2 linked regions of the Saccharomyces cerevisiae S288C genome follow. The protein of the gene in region 1 interacts with the protein of each later gene in a biochemical or structural test. Each region holds a gene or a part of one and is shown in the gene's direction. Other genes may lie near its edges.

Region 1 (3,426 bases):
GAAGGTACTGCAAACCATGCTAACCCACCGATGGCATATGCTTTCAAACTCGCTGCGGGACTAGCAGAAATCGCTTTATTCCAATAACCATTATCAAGGAAAACGGTGCCGAAATTTCCAATCAGGTTAATAATTAATAAAATACCAGCGGATTTGGATGTCATGGTCATATATTCACCCTGATAGTTACCGTCTACTGGATGCCTCTTGGCGGCTTCACGAACTAAGTCATAAACTTTTCCCGGTGAGCCTAAAACATCACTAGTCGCATAAACTTTAAAGGCAAATACGAGGACAATGATGATAATGACACATGTGTGCATATAGTCCGTTAAGAAAGTTGCTTTAATCCCACCAAATAGAGTATAAACAACAACACCCACAGGCAGTAAAAAACATGATGCGATAGTGTTCATCCCGGTTAAATCACTAAAGACAGCAGAACCTGAAGTTAAAAGCATTGAAGTGACTAAAATATTCGTCGCGATGGCATAAAACAAGTAGCAACCATGGCCGATCTTACCATATCTTGTTCTCACTAATTCTAAATATGTGTGCGCATTGGGAGCCATTTGCTTGGTTTTAATTGCCAAAATTGCGAATGCAATAATTTGGAAGCATGCGCCAGCAGCGTACGCATAACCGCCAAATATACCGTCTGCATATTCCTTTGTTGACGACGTTAACAATGTAGAACACCAGATCCAACTAGAAACCACGGCTGCAGCCACTAAGCCGGTTTTTACAGATCTACCGGCGGTGGTGAATTCTTCTGCTGTGATGATTTCCTTTTGATAACGTTTCAGTAAATAAGTGGTCAAAACCATCATTCCTGCAAATACGGCCCCTAGGCCCAATACAATAGCGTACCCAGCGCCTTGAGGTAGCGGAGGTTTAAATTCTCCCATACTATAACAATGACAAATTTATGTTATTACTTTTTCTTGGATGAACCCAATTTAAGAATCTAGACAAGGGAAACTGCTAACAATAGTAAAGCTACGGCTATACTACTGCTTCATTTTATATACTTGGCGAACAAGACGTATCTTCATGCAACACCGATGAATAGAGCACATCTTGCCTGTTATCTAAGGATAACCGTACCGTAGAAAGCGCAATGATGAGTTACACCTTTCCCATAGGTACGCCTGCTTGTTTCTATGCTGCAACTGACTATTGGCCTGTCCACTCTCGAGCATTATTGTCTGTCGCATTTGCTATCATAAAATATCCCGATAAGATAACACCCAAATGTGCGCCGCCTCATTTCATCATCGGAAAAAAGGTGCGGCACCAATAGATAAACAGAATTGGAATGCCTAGTTTGAGTCAGCCTTGCTGCATAAAACAAATACCTGTATGACTGCTTTTGCATCTTTAAGAGAACCTTTGGTCTTGGCTAATCTCAAAATTAAAGTTCATATCTACCGTATGAAGCGCTGATAAAGAGCGCCAAATCTGCACCTTGTGCATTTTGTTCACACATTCTTGGCGCTCCTAACTGGAGAAACGTCTATCATTGAGGATAACTCCGGATAGTCGCATTCTGATTGAATAGCCGTCTAGCTCCCTATTGTGACTAGAATACTATTGACATCGTTTTCTCATCAAAACCTCCCGATAAAGGGAAAAAAAGAATTATCTGACCAGATCATTCGGAAAAATGCGTATCGTCATTGATATCCTTCTTGTCTTGTCTGCTGCTAACACTATTTACTATGGAAAGAGAGATTTCCCTGAAACTTCTTATTTTTATCTCTATAGAAGGGGAAAAGATAAAAGTAAAAATGTAAAAATGTTTACCTGCAAGTTCACACCTGTACATTTTCTACATCCGTAAACATAAGAGAAAAAATGCCACAACTATTTTTATGAAGATAAAGTTCGGGTAACGATAATGTTTTAATTTTGAAAAAAAAACTTCGACGCATTCGCGACTAGCCTCAGAGATTGAGTAATAGACCGTATTGAATTCAAAATAATAGTAAAGATGGGTTATTTCATTCAAGCTCAGCTTTAGATTGAAACTCCTACAAGAAAGCAAGTAAAATAAACAAAAAGGTATATACAAAATGTCTGACTTTCAAAAGGAAAAGGTTGAAGAACAAGAACAACAACAACAACAAATCATCAAGATTAGAATCACTTTGACCTCCACCAAGGTTAAGCAATTGGAAAACGTCTCTTCCAACATTGTCAAGAACGCTGAACAACACAACTTGGTCAAGAAGGGTCCAGTCAGACTACCAACCAAGGTTTTGAAGATCTCCACCAGAAAGACTCCAAATGGTGAAGGTTCTAAGACTTGGGAAACCTACGAAATGAGAATCCACAAGAGATACATCGACTTGGAAGCTCCTGTTCAAATCGTTAAGAGAATCACTCAAATCACCATTGAACCTGGTGTGGATGTCGAAGTTGTTGTTGCTTCCAACTAAGCTGGTTCTAACTGGAAATAATTTCCATTAGATTCCTCTTTTTCTCGTCCATTAACCAAAATATATTATTGAATTCAGCGGTTCCTTTTTTCTCATTTTCGCATATAGCTGCACTATTAGAATCAGCCCACTCTAGGTAAACACAGTTCCTCGATATACCTCTGTCTTACTATCAGTGGTTAAACCTTATGCAAATATAATATATATATATATATATATATATATATCTCATACTTTTGTTGATTCTTGTGTAATTATTGGAAAAGACAAAACAAAGCAAGCGTTTCTATTCATATTTACAAGTATTTTTTATGACAAACTATTTCTTAATTTTCCCACCGGCGGCTTTGAATAAGGCAATGTCATTGTCCTGCATAATATATTGTTTGCCTGCACGTTTGATAAGTCCCTTAGATTTTAGTAAAGACTCATTTAGCGGTGGTTCCATCTTCTTCAGATCGTCATATTTTATTACATCAGCGCTGATAAATGTTTCACGCAAGTCGCTATGGATTACACCCGCGGCCTCTTGAGCGGTGGTTCCCTCCCTTATATTCCATTGGTGAACTTCTTGTGGGCCGCATGTAAAGAAGCTAATTAAGTTCAACAACTTTCTCATTTCTAGTATTATTTGCGGTATCGCAGAAACTAACTGTTGATCAGAAACATTGGTATCTTCCTTGATCTTGTCAAAATACTCTGACGCTATGCCTTTACATTCCATCAATTGCGATTCAAATTCTGCACTGAAAAGTAGGAATTTATCTCCTGGCGAAAATTCGTTAATCCATTCTATAATATTTCTGACAAATTTATTTTCATTCCTAACGTAATCTTGAGGTGAAACATTTAGCAATATCAAAGTTGGTTTGGAGGTTAAAAAGTTATGCTTATTCAAAATTTTGACTTCATCCAGGTTCCAATGATCTTTGAAATGCCGGATTTTTTTACCGTTAAACAAATGTTCCTCTAATGCATCTAATAA
Region 2 (4,658 bases), on another chromosome or scaffold:
GATCTTCAAGAAAAGGTCATACTAATTGTAGAAACGTTTGAATTTAAGGAATCTGACTCTGATGTGCATAGCAGTGTTACTACTATTTATTTTCTTGAAAAATACCATCGTGATTGCCTTCAAATAGGTCATCTAAAACTTTCTGCTCTCAGCGGGCCGTGTTTTGAAAAATCTCACATCGAATATTGTATCGTCTTTGCCTCATTAATTGCGAATAAATACTAGATTTGTAGATATCACAAATCAAAATCGGGCTATACCACGACATTTTAATAGTTCAATTGGTTTACTTATTTGGTAATGGCGTCTATCAATCTGATTAAGTCTTTGAAACTTTACAAGGAAAAGATATGGTCTTTTGACTTTTCTCAAGGTATATTAGCAACAGGTTCAACTGATCGAAAAATTAAGCTAGTTAGCGTGAAATATGACGATTTTACGTTAATTGATGTGCTAGATGAGACTGCTCATAAAAAGGCGATTCGATCTGTGGCGTGGAGACCTCACACTTCGCTGTTAGCGGCTGGCTCTTTTGATTCCACTGTATCTATCTGGGCTAAGGAAGAATCTGCTGACAGAACTTTCGAGATGGACCTGCTAGCTATTATCGAAGGTCACGAAAATGAAGTAAAAGGTGTAGCGTGGTCGAATGATGGATATTACCTAGCAACCTGTTCCAGAGATAAAAGCGTGTGGATATGGGAAACAGATGAAAGTGGCGAGGAATATGAGTGTATTAGTGTTTTGCAAGAACATTCACAAGACGTTAAACATGTTATATGGCATCCATCTGAAGCATTACTGGCTTCAAGTTCTTATGATGACACCGTCAGGATATGGAAAGACTATGACGATGACTGGGAATGTGTTGCTGTCTTAAATGGCCATGAAGGAACTGTTTGGTCTTCTGATTTTGACAAGACTGAGGGCGTGTTTAGACTGTGCAGTGGAAGCGACGATTCCACTGTACGGGTATGGAAATACATGGGTGACGACGAGGATGATCAACAAGAATGGGTTTGTGAAGCTATTCTCCCGGATGTACACAAAAGACAGGTATACAATGTTGCATGGGGCTTTAATGGCCTCATTGCTAGTGTAGGAGCGGATGGAGTACTAGCGGTCTATGAAGAAGTAGACGGAGAATGGAAAGTTTTTGCTAAACGTGCATTATGTCATGGAGTTTATGAAATCAACGTTGTGAAGTGGTTGGAGTTAAATGGTAAAACTATACTTGCAACAGGCGGTGACGACGGGATCGTAAATTTCTGGTCTCTAGAAAAAGCAGCGTAGATGTAGAAGCAAGAGTACAATTCAGGAACTCATATTAACACAGTGATCGATCTGAATTCTAAAAATAAACTTAATGACGATTTTTCTACCTAGTTACATAAACCTTTGTATCACTATAACGCAATTCTGTCATGTGTGACGGAGTGACCTCGTTATACATATCCCTGCATTAAAAGCATGCGGTAAAAACTGAAATTTAAAAATGAAAAAAAAAAAAATTAGATATTCGGAAGACTTGTAATTAAGCATTATCTCGAATAAAGAAAGGTTACACTGAAAGTTTCATACTCGCGGTCACTCTTAATAATAGCTATATTTTCTGATTTTCTCTTAAGATTTTGAAAAGGGCATCTGAACGACTGCCCACTCAGCCATATTCAACAAATCGTCGAGCGCATACCTAGCTGAAAAAGATCCATAAAGTGCATTTTGATACAGTCTCTTTCGTCGAAAAAATAGTGGCTATACTTCTTTTCAAGAATTAGGATGAGCGAATCAGTGAAAGAAAACGTTACTCCGACACGTAACTTCCGTCGTACTCAAGGGCCCCAAAATAATACAAAACCTCACAACGACAGGAAGAATTTCAGAAGAAAGCAAAAGAAAAATAACCTTTCTGCTGAACCCAACCTCACCACTTCAAGCGCAGATGATACTGATGAAGAAAATGAATTATGTGTAATTTGTGCGCGCAAGTTAACATACGTATCTCTAACACCATGCCATCATAAGACATGCCATATCTGTGGTTTCAGACAACGAGCTTTGTACAACAAGAAAAGCTGTTTGATTTGCAGAACGGAGAATGAAGAAGTCATGTTTACCGATCGCATAGATGGTGATATTTCAGATAAATATAACTTTTGCGAAAAAAATGAAAAATATGGAATAAATTTCACTAGCGAAGAGGTTGCTACCGAAACACTAAATCTTTTAAAATTTTTTTGTCCCCTATCGAAGGATGAACAAGTTTGTGACTTTGGTAGTTTCAAGAAATATAATGAACACTTGAAATCTGAACATAACAGAATGATCTGTTTAATATGTGCAACCCATAAGCATGCATTCCCTTGTGAGCTTGAAATATTCACCCAAAATCAATTACGCAACCATCAAACTAAGGGTAATTCAGAAGGATTCAAAGGCCACCCTATGTGTGCCTTCTGTTCCGGAAAACGATTTTATTCAGACGACGAATTGTACATTCACATGAGAAATCAGCATGAAAAGTGCCATATTTGTGATAAGATGAACCCCGCTTCTCCTCAATACTTTAAGGATTATAATCAGCTTTTTGACCACTTTAAACATTCGCATTACGTTTGCACCGTCCAAACTTGCTTAGATAACAAGTTTGTCGTATTTAAAGACGAGTTGGAGTTACAAGCCCACATTTTGCAGGAGCATGGTAATATCCTGAAGGGAAAGCCAAAGTTTTTCCAGTCAGAACTTTCTACTTTTATCTCGGCTCCATCTAGAGTGATCAGGGAAAGAGATGATTACGACCTTCCATCTATATCTTCCCTACCGGGTTCATCATCCGGCTCTAGAACTGATGTGAGATCTGCTAGTTCTCCCGAGGAAAGTAGACTAAGATTGGCAGAAAGAGCAAAATACTATCTGGAAAATTCCAAAGAAGACTTCAATAAGTTTTCTTCTTATAACGAAGATTATTCTAAAGGTCGCTTAAGTGCTGAAAAATTATTGGAATCATATAAATTGTTATTCACAAAACCAAATGCGGATGTATATTTATTGATTCATAACTTAGCTGAAACCTTTCCCAAAAACTCCTCCAAATACAATAATCTGAACGCCATATATGAACAAAGAGAGCAAACCCTTGCACGACAAACTTCACTACCTTCTTTATCTAGTGATTCTTCCCTTTCAATGTCAATAGGCAGGGGCCATTGGGGTGGAACAAACGATGGGGGCAGCGCTGGTGCAGCATTAGGCGTTAGGAATATCAAAAATCTTCCAACCCTGAAAAGTCCTTCAGCGTCGTATGATCCCTTTGCAACCACCGTAAAAAAAAACACTCTGAGACCCGTGCAAAACATTAAAAGAACTACACCTCAATCAGTTAGTTATCGAACTTCCACTAATACAGTCGCCTTCTCTCCAACCTATTTGGAAAGTAAAAAGGGTTCCTCTTCTACTTCTCTAAATAATAGCAAAGATAAATTGAAAAGTCTCAACCTACCTCAACTACCTCCACCAAAGCCAAAGGTGCAAATTCCAGGTCTGAACAGACCCCAAATTGCTGATCCTAAGCAGTGGGGTAAAAAGTCAAGCACACAAGATACTAACGTGCACGATAATTTGAGGGAATTGAACACAACTAGTGGAGGAAATAAAAAGAAAGGCAAACAAAAGCAGCTGTTATTCCACATTGGTGTATAGTTGGAAATATATTTCTAACCTGTAACTGACAATAGCATTAGAGAAATGAAAGTCTTAAATAAAATTCCGATAAAGAAAAACTTATTTAATTAATTAATATAATTACAAGACTAAAAAGCATTATTTCCCCTTCGCGTTTTACTTCTCCTGCTCAGACGTCTGCGTTATTTCTGAAAAAGGCCTGTGGACAATGCTAAAAGAGTAGTCAAATTATTGATTAGTTCCTCTATTGCCGCAGGACCAGAATTTCCTGTGGTTGACAGTGTTGTCTGCACAAGGGGCATTCTGGCCTCTCTTTACACCAGCTCATAAGACAACTCCAACAAAATAGATGTCCACATGGCGCGCAGCTAGGATCACTCATGTTCATGAGACATAGGATGCATTTTCTCGAGGCTTCTGGAATAAATGGCAATTGGTTTTTATCTGACAAATTTATATGAGTCAGCTGCGATTCCTTCGGTATGCCTTCTATAGATTCATGTTCTGAACGCTCCTGTAGACCAACAGACGACCTAGTAATTGAATCATTGGTCCTTTTTCTCCCATAAATCCAGGACCCGAGCGTAGAGGTTAGGACAGGGTACCATTTCATAACATTTTGAGCTAATAGGATATAACCTAATACTTTGTACTTTTGTGAGCCCTCTTCTCTAAAATTGGCCTCATTTTTTGACAATATATGTTTAAAAACATATCTCATACCAAAAATCCTTTTGGAAATACTGTAAAAAGCTCCTTTGAAATAAAAGAGGGTCATGTGTACGTCTAAAATGAAATCTAAAAGGCCCTTACAAAACGCGGCAACACTTTCAGTATCTTCAATTTTACTTTCCTTGTTGTTCTTCATTATTTTCTTGTATAGTTTGGTGATGAAATATGGACATAAAGGATAAGCGAAAGCGAATACAATCATTTTGAGCCGTCCTGCAAGTCTGGTACCCTTCCTATTAGTGTAT

Evidence for each region. The genes of interacting proteins can lie anywhere in the genome.
Region 2: of the proteins of RPS20 (region 1) and HEL2, one has a biochemical effect on the other in vitro, tested with the Saccharomyces cerevisiae proteins (3 studies listed by BioGRID).

What each region holds. Positions count from the first base shown.
Region 1 is NC_001140.6:73,337-76,762, forward strand, and holds RPS20 (40S ribosomal protein uS10 RPS20), read left to right. Parts: upstream 1-2,075; coding exon 2,076-2,441; downstream 2,442-3,426. Other genes in the region: DUR3 (Dur3p), read right to left, coding at 1-908; YHL015W-A (uncharacterized protein), read left to right, coding at 1,363-1,446; YLF2 (Ylf2p), read right to left, coding at 2,761-3,426. UniProt on the Saccharomyces cerevisiae protein: Component of the ribosome, a large ribonucleoprotein complex responsible for the synthesis of proteins in the cell.
Region 2 is NC_001136.10:999,145-1,003,802, reverse strand, and holds HEL2 (E3 ubiquitin-protein ligase HEL2), read left to right. Parts: upstream 1-1,779; coding exon 1,780-3,699; downstream 3,700-4,658. Other genes in the region: iron-sulfur cluster assembly protein CIA1, read left to right, coding at 301-1,293; PEX10 (ubiquitin-protein ligase peroxin 10), read right to left, coding at 3,926-4,658. UniProt on the Saccharomyces cerevisiae protein: E3 ubiquitin-protein ligase that plays a key role in the ribosome quality control (RQC), a pathway that takes place when a ribosome has stalled during translation, leading to degradation of nascent peptide chains.